Macaca mulatta: one gene and its partners. The protein of the gene in region 3 interacts with the protein of the main gene of each other region in a pairwise test. Links are inferred from orthologs where the notes say so. Each region holds a gene or a part of one and is shown on either strand. Other genes may lie near its edges.

Evidence for each region. The genes of interacting proteins can lie anywhere in the genome.
Region 1: the proteins of ANXA11 (region 3) and PDCD6 interact in binary tests that used the Homo sapiens proteins (3 or more experiments, as listed by UniProt). The link is inferred for Macaca mulatta from reciprocal best matches to the Homo sapiens genes ANXA11 and PDCD6.
Region 2: the proteins of ANXA11 (region 3) and PLSCR1 interact in a two-hybrid assay, tested with the Homo sapiens proteins (2 studies listed by BioGRID and IntAct). The two-hybrid records come from large-scale screens. The link is inferred for Macaca mulatta from reciprocal best matches to the Homo sapiens genes ANXA11 and PLSCR1.
Region 4: the proteins of ANXA11 (region 3) and TFG interact in binary tests that used the Homo sapiens proteins (3 or more experiments, as listed by UniProt). The two-hybrid records come from large-scale screens. The link is inferred for Macaca mulatta from reciprocal best matches to the Homo sapiens genes ANXA11 and TFG.

The regions. Positions count from the first base shown.
Region 1 is NC_133411.1:1,373,055-1,377,184, reverse strand, and holds the start of PDCD6 (programmed cell death protein 6), read right to left. Parts: upstream 2,801-4,130; 5' UTR 2,726-2,800; coding exon 2,625-2,725; intron 1,694-2,624; coding exon 1,632-1,693; intron 1,521-1,631; exon of another isoform or gene 1,382-1,520; coding exon of another isoform or gene 1,305-1,381; intron 1-1,304. Other genes in the region: ubiquitin domain-containing protein TINCR-like, read right to left, coding at 1,305-1,381. UniProt on the Homo sapiens protein: Calcium sensor that plays a key role in processes such as endoplasmic reticulum (ER)-Golgi vesicular transport, endosomal biogenesis or membrane repair.
Region 2 is NC_133407.1:49,526,796-49,531,060, reverse strand, and holds the start of PLSCR1 (phospholipid scramblase 1), read left to right. Parts: upstream 1-1,465; 5' UTR 1,466-1,615; intron 1,616-4,265. UniProt on the Homo sapiens protein: Catalyzes calcium-induced ATP-independent rapid bidirectional and non-specific movement of phospholipids (lipid scrambling or lipid flip-flop) between the inner and outer leaflet of the plasma membrane resulting in collapse of the phospholipid asymmetry which leads to phosphatidylserine externalization on the cell surface.
Region 3 is NC_133414.1:69,791,387-69,797,316, reverse strand, and holds the start of ANXA11 (annexin A11), read right to left. Parts: upstream 3,595-5,930; 5' UTR 3,456-3,594; exon of another isoform or gene 3,388-3,455; intron 3,331-3,387; exon of another isoform or gene 3,155-3,330; intron 1-3,154. UniProt on the Homo sapiens protein: Binds specifically to calcyclin in a calcium-dependent manner. Required for midbody formation and completion of the terminal phase of cytokinesis.
Region 4 is NC_133407.1:182,895,446-182,899,496, forward strand, and holds the start of TFG (protein TFG), read right to left. Parts: upstream 2,801-4,051; 5' UTR 2,550-2,800; exon of another isoform or gene 2,459-2,549; intron 2,370-2,458; exon of another isoform or gene 1,999-2,369; intron 1-1,998. UniProt on the Homo sapiens protein: Plays a role in the normal dynamic function of the endoplasmic reticulum (ER) and its associated microtubules. Required for secretory cargo traffic from the endoplasmic reticulum to the Golgi apparatus.

The DNA.
Region 1 (4,130 bases), on a different chromosome or scaffold from region 3:
AAAACCTGAGCAAACGCATAAAAAGCAGGCTGTTAAAATGGATCATAAATCTTGCATCACTCACTGGAAAACCACTCAAAATAAATGTCTCCGCGACATGGCCTCTGGGGAGGGCACTCTGTGTGGCTCGTACCACCCTGGTGACAAACCACTTGAACCTGGGTGGTCATCTGATGACATTTCACAGATGATGCACAGAGCCATCTGCACCCACTGTGGTCAACATTGAGGACGTTTTAAGCTAAGATTTGCCAAATTGTAGCCTACTGGATTCCAGGTTCTCTTGACATCTTTTTCCAGTAGCCATGTCTTGCACTTCCCAAGTATAAAGGAACCGAGATGCAAATTTAAAAAAGGAGGATTTAAGAATAATGAAAAGAGAAAAATCAAGAAAGCACAATCACTAGTGCCGATAATAGAATTTCTGAATTCCCTGAAAACAATCTATATAAATGCATGTGAAATAATACACCAGCATCTGTGGCCCACACGTCACGTATCAGGAACTGATGTCAGAATATAAGGTAAACATGTTACTGTGAAAACACAAATCCTCACAAATCATTAGGCAGTAAGGCTGAATGAAGCATCCCCCCAGGCACAGCGCAGTGAGGCAGTGTCCAGCAGCCGTAGTGCTCCCCGCGCCCCAGTCCAGTCTCTGGCAACATCAGGTACTTCCCACTAATAACGAGGAGCCTTTTAACATTTTCACAACATCTCAAAACCGACCCCTTTTCTAGCTTAAATGGCACGGATCTGGAAAGGGAAACTATACACAGAATCGGAAAAGATGACTGCCCCTGAGGGATTACAGAAAAAGCTGCAGTCAGGTGTTCAATGAAGTAAAATGTGTCCAATGATACCGCAGGGGACGGGGATCAATTGAGCTGAAACTGGCAAGAACTAACTGCAGGGAGCTCACAACACCCAAGGACCCGGATTTCCCGCCGCCTGAACGTCCAGTATTCGCACACTGATAAGAACACCTCCCCATAATTCCCCTGCCAGCGCCTCCAACACCCCCAATCCTTTCCCCAGGAATGCAGTCCCCGTGTTTGCGGCTCCTGTAACAGCCACTTCCCCACACAAGTGCTGCCTGAGCTCCCCAAGCCCTCCAACCACCACCCCCCAAGGCCCTCGAAGGTCTATTCAGAGAAGTCACCAAGATGCAGTCACCGAGGAAATTCAAGGACCTCCAACTTACCAAAAGGCTTCCGGCTGTACAGAGCTAAGCTTCCTATTCCCCTCCTAAACCTACAACCTAGTTTTCATTTCACAAGAAGCCTTTCCCTGTGCTCATGCACGCAGTTGTCAGCCGGCTTGGTGAGGCACTCCAAATAACAGCGGCAGCCACAACAGAAACCAGAAGCATCTCCACCATGAAGCAGTAATAATAGTTTGTCCTAATGATCCCTTTGTCCTTGGAAAATGAACTTCAGAAAGAAAGTTATCCACTGCGAGCAGAGCAGGCTTCTGGGTCCGGACCCAGGTCCCACGGGCCCACTCAGCGGCTTCTGGGTCCGGACCCAGGTCCCACGGGCCCACTCAGCGGCTTCTGGGTCCGGACCCAGGTCCCACGGGCCCACTCAGCGGCTTCTGGGTCCCGACCCAGGTCCCACGGGCCCACTCACCGTTGGAGAGAGCTTGCTGAAGCTCGGTGTCCGATATCACTCCACTCCTGTCTTTATCAACCCTACAACATCAAGAAGACCAAGTAAGCTGGCGATCCAAAGTTCAGGAAAAGCAAAACAAACGTCTCCTGTCAACCCTGCACTGACTCTGGAAGGCTCGGAGCCTCCTGGAACCTCCGCCTCCCCCATCCCGCTGAGGAGGACACGGGAATCAAGGAAGTGCCGCAGGAGCCCACGTCCAAGCGGGGTCTTCCCCTAAGAGGCCAATCATCTTTCTCTCTCAATCTTTCCCTTCCTTCCTCTCCTGGCCTGTCTGAATTCACATTTGCACCAGTTTCCCTTTTTCACAAACAAGATTCCCTCAGATAACTAAGGCATTCCCTGGCCATGAGTCACTGCAGTTTCGGTCATTCATTCCGTGGAAAAGCGACCGGGACAGAAGGCGACGCCGGAAAGGTCACCTGCCCCGAGCAGACGCCAGGTCGCTGCTGCTTCCTCGGCTGCTGACACTTAACAGCGCCCAGACATTCTGTCTCTGCTTTCCCCGAACAAGCACCCCTGGAGACCCTCCGCCCGGCGGCTCCTGAGGCGAGAAAAAGGGCCTAGCCCGGGAGCCGGTGGCCGCGACCTCGGGTCTGCAGCGGCTACTCTGCACCTCTGGAAGGGCCCAACGCACAGGGCAGGGACCGGGCAGGAGGCGGGGGCGGCCGCGGGAGACCCACAGGGGACGGGGACGGCCGCAGGGGACCCACAGGGGACCGGGGAGACCGCAGGGGACCCGGCAGGGGACGGGTGCGGCCGCAGGGGTCGGGGCAGGGGACGGGGGAGGCCGCGGCGGTCGGGGCAGGGGACCGGGGAGGCCGCGGAGGACCCGACAGGGGACAGAGGAGGCCGCGGGGGAACCGGCAGTGAACCGGGTCCGCGGCGGTGGGGGCAGGAGTCGGGGGCGGCCGCAGCGGAGGCGGGAGGTGCTGGGACGGTGCCAGGCCGCACCTCTGGAAGACGTTCCACAGAAAGCTCTGGTCCGGCAGCGCCGCGCCCGCAGCAGGCCCTGGGCCGGCCCCGGGGCCGGGGCGGTAGGAGTAGGCGGCCATGGGCCAAGGCGCGCGGCTGGGCTGAGGCGTCTACTGAGACGTGAGACCTCTCAGGGCGACTCCGCTTCCGGCTCTGCCGGGGGCAGGGCCTGGCGTTACCTCCACTTCCGGGGGCGCAGGAAATGCGTAGTCTCCGGGATGGTCACGGGGTCCCGCGCGGCCAATCCCCTCGCAGCTCAGTTACCAAGCAACGCCCTGGCGCCTGCGGGGCCTGTGCGGTCCGGGGCGTCTGGAGAAAGCCAGAGCTCTGGAGCAGGCAGCCGGCTACCGGTGCTGGGAAGGCGCTTGGAGAAAATGTCCGGCTCTGCGACCCGGGACGGGAAGTGATGGAGTAGGGAGTTAGTTAGCCTTTCAGTTCATGTATAAAAAGAAGTTTTGACGTGAATGTGATTCAGGCTAACAGTCGGAAACTCTGGGCGGGGCGCGGTAGCTCACGCCTGTGATCCCTGCGCTTTGGGAGGCGGAGGCGGGCGGAGCTCCTGAGCCCACCAGTTCGGACCAGCCTGGGCAGCGTGGCCAGACTCCATCCCTACAAAAATTGCAGAAAATAGTCGGGCGTGGTGGCGGGCCCCTGTGGTCCCATCTACTCCATGGGCAGAGGCGGGAGGATCGCCTGAGCCCGGGAAGTCGAGGCCGCAGGGAGCCGAGATCACTGCACTCCAGCCCGGTGGACAGCCAGACTCTGCCAAAAAAAAAAAAAAAAAAAAAAAAAGCAGGCCGTGCGCAGTGTCTGACGCCTGTAATCCCAGGACTTTGGGAGGTCGAGGCCGGTGGATCACCTGAAGTCGGGAGTTCGAGACCAGCCTGACCAATATGGAGAAACCCCGTATCTACTAAATATACAAAATTAGCCGGGGGTGGTGGCGCACGCCTATTCCCAGCTATTCGGGAGGCTGAGGCAGGAGAACTGCTTGAAGCCGGGAGGCGGAGGTTGCAGTGAGCGGAGATCAGGCCGTTGCACTCCAGGCCTGGGCAACAAGAGCGAAACTCCTTTAGGTTTAACCTGCGCCCCCGCGCTCTGCCTCAGCGCCGCCCCCGACGCCGTGCAGCTGGCAACACTGGGCGCCTCCCTGCCCGGTCCCTTCCCGCCCCTTGGTGGTGGTGCAGCCCTGTCTCCCCCGAGACAGCACTGCCTCCGTGCTGGACACGGTTCTGCGGTGGAGCCTGGAGTGCCTGTAGCACCAATCCCCGGAATTGGGAAGTGCCCAGCTTTGGGCCACTATGATCCCTGGATCTTTGCCGCCTTCCACCCCAGTCCTGTGTCCTGTGTCCTATGTCCTGTGCCCTGGTTCAGGATACTACAATTATTCTCATTATTTCGTGGGGTTTTTCCAGCTTTTCAGGTTCTTCAGTGCCTCATTCCACTAATGCTCTTTTCATCCTTGTAGCTCCAAGTGTTGTCTCT
Region 2 (4,265 bases), on a different chromosome or scaffold from region 3:
ACTGTGCACTTGTCTTAGTCACAGTTTTGCTAAGCCCACAAGCTAAGCCTAGCCTAGCCAAAGTGAGTGAAAAACAAACATTACTGGACAGCTTCTTTGAAAATGGGGAAAACCCAATGATGAGACAACAGAAGACTCTAAAACTGCTAACAAAAATAAAGCCACATTTAAAGGAAAATGCCAAGAGTCCTACTTAAATTACAGGTTCACTGCAACAGGTGGTTCACATTCTCCAACCCTGCTTTGTATAATATGTGATGATCGACTATGCAATGAAGCCTCGAAACCTGCAAAACTGCTTTGCCACATGGAGACCAAGCACCCTGCGTTAAAAGACAAGCCTTTGGAGTTTTTTTGTTTTGTTAAAACAAACAAACAAACAAACAAAAAAACAGAAACCATGAAAACATGAACACAAAGAACACATAGAAGCAATTATTGAAGGCCACCACGTCATCAAATGTGTCTGCACTGACAGCATCAGTATATATTACAATGTAACAATAATAGAAATAAAGTGCACAATACATACAATATGCTTGAATCATCCTGAAACCGTCTGCCACTCGACCCTGGTCCATGGAAAAATCCTCTTCCGTGAAACTGGTCCCTGGTGCCAAAAAGGTTGGGGACCACCGGTTTATCCAGGGTCATCCAGGTTGGAGTAGGGTCAGGAGATATGGGGAAATTTAGGTCAAAGAATTCAAAGTTACAAACATGTAGGATGAACAAATGGGAAGACCTAATGTACAACATGAGGGCTATAGTTAATGATCGTGGTATTCAGGATTTATGCTAAATGAGTAAATTAGAGCTGCTCTTGCCCCAAGGGGGGAAATGTGTAATTATAGGAGTTGATGGATATGTCATACGCATAACTTAAATACAGACAATAAAAACTATTTTAGTTTAAAAAGGAACAATATTTATTAAAAAATAAGGTGAGCTCTTAAAAACATTTAAATAACTGCCTAAAAAAATAAAAAATAATATCACATAATTTAATAGAAGGAAAGAAAGAGCAAGACAGCAAGAAAGAAAAGGCACCATAAAAAAAAACAATTTTGACCACTCCTCATTTGTAGTCTAAGCTGCCTCTGCTTCCTTGCGTTGAAAAGCCACGGGCTTCCGAGGGATGGAGGTCAAAGTCAGAGTAAAGAAAGTTCCCGGGGGAGGCCACTCCCCAGCTGATGACTTTCCAGTTCCAGTTAGTGACAGAGTCCCAGTTCCTCTCCTTAACCACCGGTCAAAAGTCTCTGGAGTCTCTCCAATGAGCAAGAAAGCAAGTCGGGGGTAGGGGAGGGGCCTCACAACTGGTGGTGGGTGCAGTCCCTCCTCCAGCTTCTTCATCCTGCAATAGTCCCGCGGGTCCCCCGGCGCGAACGCGGGAACCAGGAAAAGGAAACCGCGTTGTGTACGTAAGATCCAGGAAACTAAACCAGTAGCCGCGGCTGTTGGCGCAAGGGTTACTCGCAGACCCTGTTCCGGCTGATTTCCGAGAAGGTTGCGCAGTAGCCGTGCCTTGCAGTCTAGAGGCGCAGGAGAGGAAGCCACCGCCTGACCCCGGCTCTCTAGACCTCGGCTCTCTCGGGAGCGGAAACAGCGGCAGCCACAGGTGCGCGAGCGGCTTTCTCTGCCGCCTCCCCGGGGCTCGGGCGCGAGAACTGCGCGGAGCCTGCGCTGGGGCCAGGGCCGGGATCAGGTGTGGGGGCCAACTTACGGGGAACGGGCGCGAGGGCCAGCCGGTTGTGTTTGCTGCTCTGGGGGTGGAGGATGTGGGGTGAAGGCTGGGGCCAGAAATGCAAGAGACCTCTGAAAGGGACCCTGTAAGTGGAGCAGATGCACGGCAAGGGGCCCCAGGCGGCCCAGCGGCACCTGGGCTCACCCAGAATCATTCGAATGAAAAGGGGTGTCCTGCCTGAAAACGCCTCGCGGGGCTCGGCTTCCCCTTAGCTACACTGCTCTACAGGCAGAGAGCGGCGCTGAATCCTGGGCAGAGACTGGGCTCGGGAGCATGTGCCAGCATAGTGGGGCTATTAGAAGGGACGGTTAATACAGCCTGCAAGCTGGCATTTATCAGTAAGTATTCACTGAAGTCCGCCTGGAGCCCACATCTATGCTAAACCCTCTACAATACTAGCTTGGAAAAGATAGCGGCGGTATCTAGCACGGTTCCTAAGACCATTAGCTCCAGTCAGGCTCCCCGACTTGAAATTTGGCCTCTACTGCTTCACATCTGTGGATTGTCAGCCACTTTCTTAATATATATTCTTTCCATTGCCTCATCTCTGAAATTGTGTAACTATTAAAAGAGCTACAGAGTATTATATGTGTTAATGTAAAGTTCTTAGAGCAGTGCCTGGCACTACAGAAAGTACTCAGTGAAAGTGAGCTTTTATTATTTTAAATATTTGACAAAGTTCCTGCTTCTCCAAGCTGACTCTCCGGTTCCCATGTGGTTTCATTCATGCACTGTTATTCCTGGAAGTCTTGGCATGGCCACTTCCCAGTTCCAGGAACAGGCAGTCGTTGTTTTTTTTCTGGCTTATCACATTGAGATACATGGTTACTACAAGTGACACTTAAACGTGTCAGGCAGTTTGGGGCCTCCTTTCTTGAACTTTTCCTAAGAGCAAACTTTTCCCTTAATGCCACCCTGTTTACAACCATAGTAGGGCTTTGAACAACGAGAAAATGCAGGGAAATGAAAGACATATAAAGGGAAATGAATGGATTTCTGCAGTTGGATAGCAAAGTGGCATGTGAAATAGCTGGTTTATAGATCAAACTGCCTTTAGATCTGTAAAGGAGCTTAGAGTACAGGTGGAGAGACATCAAATGTGTGCGAGCAGACGCTTATGTACCTCTCCGTCTTCATCTCTAAGAATGTCTCCCTCTTCTGCTCTGTAACCTCACTGGTCTTCCTTTCCTTGAATGAGGCATGTTCCTCCAGCTCAGGAATTCTATCTATGAAGTTCCCTGTCTCTATAATGCCCTCCAACACCCCACCCACCATACCTCCGTAGACTAGTTGATTTGAGATTTCCTTCAGCTCCCAGTCTGACTTTTCTTAAACCCCCTACCACTGTTTAAGTTAGTGTCCTGTAACCCTTTCTTGTAGCAACATTAATTTTATTGATAGCACTTAGAGTGTTTATAATAATCTATTACATTCTTAATTGTCTGTCTCCCTAGTGTCTAGGTATTGTGCTCTAGTGCCTGGTATAGTGCTTTGCATGCTCTATGCCTTCAATTAATTCCTTAAAAACCACACCAGCTTTATATTTAGTGAATATTTATATAGGAAGTATTTCTATATGTATATATGTGTATCTGTGTATATACACACTCTATAGCACTACCCTGAATAGTGCTAAATTAAAAAGCCAAAACACTTTTTAGTTAATCAGAACTAACAGTTGCACTCTTCAGTTTTCCATATGTTCTTTTAATAAGTCATTAGAAAAAAATGATGTCTCCATATGTTGTCTGCTGCTGTAGCAGAATACCTGAGACTTGGTAATTTATAAAGGACAGAAATTTATTTCTTACAGTTCTGGAGACTAGGAAGTCCAACATAATCATGTGTTGCTTAAAGACAGGAATACATTCTGAGAAATGCATCATGAGGCAATTTGGTGGTTGTGAGAACATCATAGAATTTACTTACACAATCCTGGATGGTATAGCCAGCCTTCTATTTAGGCTGGGGTGGTGGCGTGGGGGGTGTTGAGGAGAGTCAGATTGAGAGCTGAAGGAAGTCTCAAATCAATTAGTCTATAGACGTGTGTGTGTGTGTGTGTGTGTGTGTGTGTGTGTGTAGTGGTGGAGGGCATTATAGACAGAGGGAACTTCACAGGTAGAAGTCCTGGGCTGGGTGTGTGTGTGTGTGTGTGTGTGTGTGTGTGTGTGTAGTGGTGGAGGGCATTATAGACAGAGGGAACTTCACAGGTAGAAGTCCTGGGCTGGGTGTGTGTGTGTGTGTGTGTGTGTGTGTGTGTGTGTGTGTGTGTGTAGTGGTGGAGGGCATTATAGACAGAGGGAACTTCACAGGTAGAAGTCCTGGGCTGGGGGTGTGTGTGTGTGTGTGTGTGTGTGTGTGTGTGTGTGTGTGTAGTGGTGGAGGGCATTATAGACAGAGGGAACTTCACAGGTAGAAGTCCTGGGCTGGGGGTGTGTGTGTGTGTGTGTGTGTGTGTGTGTGTGTGTGTGTAGTGGTGGAGGGCATTATAGACAGAGGGAACTTCACAGGTAGAAGTCCTGGG
Region 3 (5,930 bases):
CCTCACTCAGATTTCCCCCCATCTCAAGTCCTCCAAGTCAGCCACCCCCAGGTGTGAGGGGCAGGGGACATCTGACTTCCCTCTCAATTTCCTTTCCTTCTTTTCTGCTAAGGCGGAGCCTAAGCCCCTGGAAAACTAGAGATCTCAGAACCAGGCTTTGACGGCATGCTCCACCCGCTGCTTCACAACTCCTGGCAGTCACACACCCACGATATCAACATTGTCATCACTACCCCCTAACTGATCTCAAACCCCTTTGCAAACATCTTCTCATCTGATTCTCCATTCCAGGCAGGCATTTTATTATCCAGAACTGTTCTGTGTGGGGGGGGCTCAGTGTGGCTGGGTGGCTTGTCCCAGGATACCCAGCACAGAGAACTCTGTCCCCCAATTTCTTGGTTGCCCCCACCCATTCCTTCCTCACTTCAGCATGGGCAAGGCCAACTGTGGTCTGGGTCACTGTTCAGGCTGTACTTTTAGGATCCTCCCAAATAACAAACAACTATGTGACTATCAGGTCTTTATTTCATGGGTTATAGGAGACAGGATCAGTAGGCCTAATGTGTAACAGTTTCAGCGGTTATCAGAGAGTTCCACTGAATTGCAACAATTCCCTTTAAAAGCACAAATGCCCACCAAGAAAACCTCAGTTTCTTCATTAATCCTAACAGCTTTCCTATCTAGGTATCACTCAGAATTCCCACTATTCTGGGGGTCATGGGATCAGAGAGTGCTGCAGAGAAAAATCCACAGAAAGTGAAAAGTCTGTTTCCTTGGCAGTGCTGGTGAAGCACACCCTTGCACACACGCTTCCCCATGGGACCAAGTGCCAGGAACTGCTTCAGGCTTATGGGGGAAGACGGTGGCAAAGAAGAGAGAGGAGGCCGGGCACGGTGACTCACTCCTGTAATCCCAGCACTTTGGAAGGCTAAGGCGGGCAGATCATCTGAGGTCAGGAGTTTAAGACCAGCCTGGCCAACATGGTGAAGCCCCGTCTCTACTAAAAATACAAAAATTAGCCGGGCACGGTGGCGCATGCCTGTAATCCCAGCTACTCAGGAGGCCGAGGGAGGAGAATCATTTAAACCCAGGGAGCAGAGGTTGCAGTGAGCCAAGACTGTACCACTGCACTCCAGCCTGGGCGACAGAATGAGATCTGTCTCAACAAAAAATAAAAATTAAAAAAAGAGGAAGAGGAGGAGTGAATCCAGGAGGAAGGAGGGGGTGCACCAGAAAGGTCCTGGAACCTCTGATGTTCCAGCATTCAGCATGCATTTTGGTTCCACATTCACCTCCTGCCCACACCAGTTTCTTTTCTCTATTCTACAGTTCCCAAGAAGAACCCACACTAACCTATTCTGTCTCAACTCCCACTCCTGTCATCCCAAGTCACACATCACCTCCCCAATCATGTGAACTAGGCATCACTAATCGATCCTGGCCTTCTAGATACGTCCACCCAGGGTGAGCCCTTTCTATAATATCATGCATAAAGGCATCAGATGGGGCTTCCACTCCCACCTCTTAGTCCCAATTCATCACCATCTCACCCTCCCCACATTTCTCTGCCTATCCAAATCCAGCCTTCAAGGTCCTATACTTTAACCACAGGGAAACTACTTCCCTGTGCTGCCTCTGTCGTTCAACTAACGACAACTAATTTTCTGAGCACCTACATTAGGCAAGGCCCATCCTGAGTGCTACCACCAAGAGGTAAGTCAGAAACAGCCTCCACCCTCCAGAGTCAGAAGACAGGGCAGAGATAAGCCACATGGCCACACAAACACTAGGCACAAGGTGAGAGATGAGAACTGAGTCAGTGCTGGAGGGGCTGAGTGAGCTCAGAGCATATCCCATCCCTCCTGCTGGGCAGCAGGCACCAGGATGGCTCCCAGGAGGGTGGAGAATCCTGGGCCAGACGGGGAGGGAGGGCATTCCAGGAAGACAGACAGCATGAGCTTAGCATGAGCTAAGCCAGAAAGACGGTTCAGGAGAAGCGCATTTCAACTTTAGCTGAACCTTCCACTGCTACTATTTACTGACCCTTATACCTGATTATTTATGACCCAGGCCTGCCTCACACACTTTATGGCTAATCTGGGTGACACCCATCTGGGACACACAAGTGTGGTACAGCAGTCACCACCTGTTCTGACTGGTCCGTACCTGAGCGCTGTATGGTTATTAAATGAATGAATGCACTGAATCTCACAACAAACCTGTGAGGCAGGGATTAGTATTACCCCCATTTTACAGATGAGGAAACCAAAGCACAGACAATAGTCAGAGACAAGATAGCAAGGTATGCAGGAGCCTGAAGTAGTGGGCACCCAATGCCAGGGCAACAAACTGCCCTGGCACCTCACCTGGCCTCCCTTGTCAGGGAACACCTTGCAGCACAAAGAATGCGTTTAGGAAAGGGGGCCTGTTAATCCTCCTGGAATCCCCAACAGTTGACTGCCGCATAAAAGGAATGAGGAAAGCAATGAGAGAGCCAGTGAAGGGTGAGCATGCCCTGCAAACCTTTAGTCCCTGTTGCGTGGGCAGGGCAGGGGCTCGGCCTCACAGCTCCACTCCATGCCTAAGGCAGAGAACAGATGGGAGAACCACCACAAACGCCCAATCTCTACAGAGAGGTCACTGATTGGAGGGCAGAGACAGAAATGCCCCGGGCCGACTGTTTCCAGCTTGGGCTAGCACTGGCTGGCTTAACTTTTCCCCTCCAAAGTCTCTAGGTGACAAATTTCGCGTGTCTCCTTTAAACCAACAGACCGTTTTACTTTTCTAAGTCTTAAGGGCCTGGCCTGCACCCATGGGGAGATACAAGTCCAGGAATCCCTTCCTGAAACTGGGGATCAAAGTTGGGGAAGGGGCGAAGGGAGGCACAACATCGGGGATGGCTCCCGCATTCTCTCAAACATTGGGGAGAGTTCCTTACAAATAAACTGCAATGGTAGCAGCTCCCATGAATGTGCGTGCTCCCAGTTACGGAGGAAAGTTCCTGAAGATAGCCTTGTCTGCTTGCTCTCCCCCAGCCTTGCCTGAAAGAGCGCGCGCACCCCGGAGGGCCCCGCGGGGCTGCGGGGCTCGGCCTCCGGCATCCCTCCAGCCACCCGTTGCCTCCTCCGCCCAGGGTCACGGCCCCCGGCCTTACCCAAGCCCAGACTGAGACGCTGACCCCTGAGCCCGGGGGGGCCGGCGAGTGCACCCCGACCGCACAGGAGGGGGCAGCCCCCGACGCCGAAGCTTATTGAGGGGGCTGCCAAGCCGACACGGCCAGCCCGGGACCCGCCGACGCCTCCTCTGTCCCCCACCCCCACGCCTGTAATGCAACCAGGAAGCAGCAGGGCCGCGCTGGGCTGGGCGCGGGGCAGCCCCGGGCCTCACCTGCGGTGCCGCGGTGCACTGCCGCCGCCTGGTCCCAGGCCCCCGGCCGGCCCGGGACCCTCACTCACCTGGCCACGGGGACTCGGGACGCGAGGGGCGAAATGGGACTTGGGCGGGAGTGGCTCTCTCCGCGGGCGTCCCGGACGCGGTGCCTGGGTTCTGCCTGGCGCTGTGTCCCACTCCCGCTCGCGGGGCACTCGGGGCACTGGGGAGTCGCGGGCGCCGCAGCCTTCAGGGCGGGGCGGGAGGAGGAGCCTGCCGGGCGGAAAACTCCGCGGGCGCGGTTGCCCCAGGCGCCGGGGGAAGGGCAGGGAAGGGGCGAGGCCTGAGCGCGGCCCCGCCCCGAGATGAGGCTTGGGCAGGGCGGGCCCGCGAGCAGCAGCGCCCTTCCGGCTGCGCAGCTGCTCCAGGACGTCTCCGGCTCTGGAGGTCCCTCTGTCGCCCCTAACCCCCTGCAGCGCCCGGTGCAGCGCAGAGCCGCATTCGCCCTCCTGCAGGGGTGGGCATTTCCTAAATCCTCTCCAGCCCCGTGTGCGTCGTTAGTGACTCTCTTTAAGGTAAAGAAAACTTTTTACACTGAAAAGGTCAAACACATTTCTTTCATATCAACACTCAGTGGTGGTGGAGGGGGGAAGGTCACGCACAGTATGTGAGGAAGGGAGCGGTCAGTAACTATCATGGAGAAACCTGACCAACCACCCAGCCGTCAAGGTGACCTCGACAGCGGTAAATCATACTGATTGCATGCACCGCTTGTGGTCTTCCTCCCAAGAACACCTAATCCCACTGTAATCATGAGAAAAACATCACAAATCAATTGAGGCCCTTGCCATATACATGACCAGTACTCCTGAAAACTAGCAAGGTCATCAAAAACAAGGAAAGTGTAAGACACTGTCACAGCCAAGAGGAACCCACGGAGATATAAAAATGACATGTAAAGTGGTATCCTGAACGGGATCCTGGACAGATAGTAGGTAGAAACTAAGGACAACTGAATAAAATATGGACTTTAGTGCGTCAGTTTTGGTTTATTCATTGTGGCAAAAGCGCCACACCAATATAAGATGTTAGTAATAGGAAAAACTCGGGTTTATGAGAACTCCCTGTATTCACACTTTTTCTGTAAATCTAAAGACGTTCTAAAAAAAAAAAGCTTATTTTTAAAAGGTCACACAGGTAATATATGCATATATGGTAGGTATGCAATTTTTTTTTTTTTTAATGTGTGGTGGCTGACACCTGTAATCTCACAGCACTTTGGAAGGCCAAGACAGGAGGATGGCTTGAAGACAGGGCTTCCAGACTAGCCTGGGCAACATAGTGAGACCCGGTCTCTAAAAAACTGAAAATAAAAAATTCAAAAAATGAATAAAAATTGAGATTCACCCTTCTCTCCACTCCCCCAGCCCACTCTTAGGCGTGTCCTTCCAAAATATCTCTCTTCAATACTGTGTGTGTGTGTGTGTGTTTACATAAACGTATTGTTTACAAAACAATATTGCAGTACTTTTCTGCAACATGTTTTTTTACTCACTATATCTTGGAGGGTCTTTCCATAGAAGCGCTCCCGAACAGACCTAGTTCTTCCCATCCGCTGCACACTGCGCACCATCGTGCACTTCACCATTCTTCACTACCTAGCTCCTTACTGAAGGACATTTAGGTTGTTGCCTATGTTTGACTGTTACAAACAAGCTGCTGGTGCGATTTTCCTTTTTTTTTTTTTTTTTTTTTGAGATGGAGTCTCCCTCTGTCGCCCAGGTTGGAGTGCAGTGGTACGATCTCGGCTCACTGCAACTTCCGCCTCCCGGATTCAAGCAATTCTCCTTCCTCGGCCTCCCGAGTTGCTGGGTCTACAGATGCTCACCACCACGCCCGGCTAATTTTCATATTTTTAGTAGAGACGGGGTTTCACTATGTTGGCCACACGGATCTCGAACTCCTGGGCTCAAATGATCCGCCCGCCTCGGCCTCCCAAAGTGCTGGGATTACAGGCGTGAGCCACTGCGTCCGGCCCGATTTGCGTTTTAAAGTCGCTCCGAACAATAAAAGCGGGAAGGGCTGGAGGGGAGGCTCTGACCTTCTCCCTGTCTGGGCAGGTGTGCTGGTGCCGGGCAGGAACAGCGCCTTGCCTTGGGGCATCCTGGCCCCGGCCTCACAACCGGCCCTGAGCGCTCAGTCATATTCCGTGGCCGCTCCAACACCCCCGACCCCCACCAACAGGCGCGGCTCTCTTTCTGGGCTGGACCACATTTTTTGGACATGAGTCCGCGAGTGAGGGTGAAATTCAGGCCAAAGTCTCCAGAGCGGCTCGGAGAAAACGTCGCCTGGAACTGAAGAGCAGAGGGTCAGAGGCACCACCAGAAAGACTCTCAGAGTGGGTTACTACCCTGGTGGCGGCGCCCGCTGCGGCGTAGGAGATGGCAGGACTGAGGGCGCGGGTGTGAAGCCTCCAAGAAACTGGGTGAAGTTCCTGGAGTGGTAATGTCTCCAGGCGCTCTCTCTGGGCCGGGGGATTGGTCCGGGAAGGACTCCTGGCG
Region 4 (4,051 bases), on a different chromosome or scaffold from region 3:
AGCACTCACCTACTCCCCCAGCAGATCAACCCTTCAAGTACTTGAAAAAAGTTTCCATGAATCCTATTATATGAATATTATATATTAATGCCCTACTATTCTTCATATAAATACCCTTCGTCCTTTCACCTAACTAGTCCTTAAATTAGTATCTCTAGACCCCTCACCATGCTCTGAACAGATATTTTATTAATAAATCTTCAATGAAATGGGTCATTAAAACTAAATATAACACTTTAAGGTCAATGCAGAATAGAGTGAACTGCATTCCACTCTAGAGATGCCATGCTTATCTTAACGCAAAGTAAGAATACAGTTAGTTTTTTATCTGCCAGTTCTTACAATGGACTTCTCATGAAGACAGTGATTAACAGAAATCTCCATACAATCAACTCTTCGCCTTCTGCAATGCCTTCTGCATTCAGGAATTACTTCTAAATACCTACTATGTGCCAAGCTCTAAAGTATAATTATTTCACCAAGATGGTAAATATTCCATCTTGTTTGCTTTGCAGCCTAAGAGTAATAAAGATCTTTCAAAAAATCAATGTATTTGTTACCTTCTCCTTTCTACAAGAAGTGTAAACCAGGAATAATGTAAAAGGACCCAGTGCTTAGCTTCAGTAAGCTGGTATTATCTATTCCCAGCAGCACCTAGAAAAGTGCCTGACATATAGTATTTAAAGACTTTAAATTTTTTGAAGTATGGGAGAAGAAAGCTGTCATATAGATCAGTTTTTACATCCGATCCTCACACTATACCTTCTTTATGGAGCTAGAAGTGACTTCCGTCAGACACATGCCTAATTAAGAAAAAATTCCAGCTTTGAATATAATTGATGGTATGTCCTTCTGACTGGGGTACGGGTTTGTTGCCCAATTTCAATGGATTTAAAATTTGAAGGCCGGGCGCGGTGGCTCACACCTGTAATCCCAGCACTTTGGGAGGCCGAGGCGGGCGGATCACAAGGTCAGGAGTTCAAGACCAGACGATCAACATGGTGAAACTCCGTCTCTATTAAAAATACAAAAATTAGCCAGGCGTGGTGGTGCGCGCCTGTAATTCCAGATATTCAGGAGGCTGAGGAAGGAGAATCGCTCGAAACCGGGAGGCGGAGGTTGCAGTGAGCCGGGGGAATCACGCCACTGCACACCAACCTGAGACTCCGTCTCAAAAAAAAAAAAAAAAATTGAGTCAGGTATACTTTCTATCTTCCATGTGTTTGCATGCAAATTCACTTTTTGTGTTTCCCACTGACTGTAAATATCTTGTGGCCAGGAACCAGTGCTTCTTTCCTAAAGCTGTTGTTAGCTCGTGCAGTCATCTCCCCAGAGTAAACACAAAAGTATCTCAAAAGTAAGTGTGCAACAAAAGTTTCCTCTCAAGGGGAAATCCCATCCCAACATTACTTCATATACAGAATTCTGGTACTCGTTTTCTCTTCCAAAGTAGAGACTGGTATTAACAACTAGCTCCTAGAACTGCCAGTAGGAGCCCTACAACAAGCTCTTCTCCCATCTTGTCCCTGCCCCGGCCCCTCTGAAGTCCAGAAATGTCTCGGCCTCTAACTTGTATAATATAACCCTCCAACAGGAACGCTTTTCTCAGCACTGGGAATAATCTGACATGCTCAAGGTCATATAAAAAGCCTTCCTCCTGAACCAGGATCTAGGTTCAGTGGCCATACTTCTGGTTCTGCTATCTGTAAGGGTAAGACCCTGCTCAATTTCAGAGGCTGTGGCTTAGGCACCTCCTGAGGGGAGCAGTTTCCTTCAAGAAATACTAAGTCAAGTCAACCTGTAATTATTCTAAACAAGGCAACAGGCCTCAAACCCTGCCTCAGAGGCAGTGTAGCAAGACGGTCAAGATTCCCACTACCAGCGATGTGATCTTAAGTCCTCGAAGGCTCACTTTCAACATATTCCAAATGAAAATAACAATATCTGAATTTGGAGGCATCCTTGTGATGATTAAATGAGACACTGCATCTCAAATACTTTAGTGTCCAGCAAAGCAAACTCTTAAAATTAGCTAGAATCATCACTATAAAACCAGGTTGGGCCTCCAGCTGGCGCTTAAGCGTTGACTTAGCCAAGGAACCAGGCTCCAATTCAGTGACCCCAATCAACTTATTCCCGTAGGCGCCACTCCGCACCCTTCCGAGCGCCTTCGGGTACTGGGCGCCGGCCAACCCAGACCTCCCAAAGGCCCTCTCCTCTCAATCCAAAACCTTTGAGGCAGGCTGCACCAAGGAATTAACTGGCCCACTCGCCTCCCGGAGCCCCCGAGACGCGCCTCCTGGCCAGCGCGGCCAGGGGTTGCCTCTCTGCCCTCCCCCTCCGCGACCTCCTTTCCCTTCCCCCTATGCAAAGCCCCGCCCTTCCTGCCTCCGGCTCCGTCCTCCCCCCACCCCCTCCTCCCTCCAGCCCCTTCCCCAGCGCCTCCGACCCCAGTCGCCGGGCGGTTCGAGCGAGGCCTTCACAGCGCCTCCTCGTCTCCCGGCCTCCTCGGAGAGAGCGGCCGCAACCCCCGTCTCCAGTGGCCATACCGGCTTGCGGAGGCCGCGCCGCCGCCTCGCCGCAGGTCTCAGCTGAATGGGCCGACGCGAGGCCACTGGACTGGCGCGTCGCGGGGAGGCGGTGGTCACTGCCCGCTCCGTTGCCCTCCGCGACCGCCGCACCTCGCTCGCAGGCTCACGCGGGCCTCGGCCAATCGCGTTGACCCAACAAGCCTAGCGAGAACTCGGGCTCTGTACGTGGCAGGTGGGGGAAGAAGAGAGGCGGGAGCAAGAAAAAAAAAAAGCCCTTTCGCCCCTCCTTACTGCGCGTGGACACACCAGGACGCATGCGCCAGGCTCAGGGCTGGCTGGGTCCCGGCTGCCTCGGTCCCGGCTGCCTCTACCGAAGACTCCCTGCTTTCTCGCTGGATGATGGGCTGTAGGAAGCGTGAGCTGCGCCGATTCACGCATGCGCGGGGCGTGACCAGGCACTTCCGGTTTTCTGGAAAGCATGTATTTCCGTTTCTCGCCAATGGGCGGGGCGTAGTGCGCTGTTCTAGACTTTTTGAGAGCCGGTTGCAGGTCTGTCCAACTTTAAGTGGTTTTTGTCGTTGTTGTTGACCATTGTAGTAACAGATGAAATAAAAACCTTTTCTTCCACAAATCTATTCATTCATTACTGGGAGCCTACGCTTTGCCAAGCCCCGTTCTAGGAATGGGGGTGAATCATTTTGTGAGCAAGGAGTTTCCAATTCAGCAGGGAAGACCGACAGCGTTTATAAGCCAAGACAAATCTGTGACTGTGTAAAGGACAAAAGCTGGGAAATTAAGGCTAATGATTCCTGAGTGATTTTTGGAGGATAAGGCATTTGAGTGTGCACTACGTACTCTTCCCTTCTCCTTTACCTGTTCAAATAGAAATACAGTATAAGTGGGAATTTATAGCCAAGGGGTGGGAGTCGGTCAGTGGATGGAAAATTACTAAGAGGAAATGTCAGGGACAAGGGAGATTCTGGCTAAACCAACACAACAGGATTCTAGATGAAGACAGGCCAGGATAACAGACATCACCTGGGGGTGGTGGAGGATGAGGAACCTGATCAAGGGTGAGGGATTCTTACTATACTGACTTAACAAGGTTCTTTGCTGAAACTGAGTTTTACAAGAAGATGCACAGATGGGCCTAGGAGAAGGCTCAGGAGCCTGAAGTTTGGCCAAGCAGAGAATCTTTGTCACTTCGAAGGTGGAGACTAAGCCGATAAATAAAGCATTTATACCCTACCTGGTCTCCAGTTGTTTACCAGTTATAAGAGAAAAACTTAAGCTGAATTAAATTTAAAGGAGTTTAATTGAGCAACGAATGATTTCACAAACTGGGCAGCCCCCAGAATCACAGCAGATTCACAGAGACTCCAGCACAGCCATGTGGTGGAAGATTTTAGACAGAAAAAGGGAAATGAGGTACAGAAATCGGGAGTCAAGTACAGAAACAGCTGGATTGGTTACAGGTTGGCGTTTGCCTTATTTGAACACTTAGCAGTCTATGAGTGGTT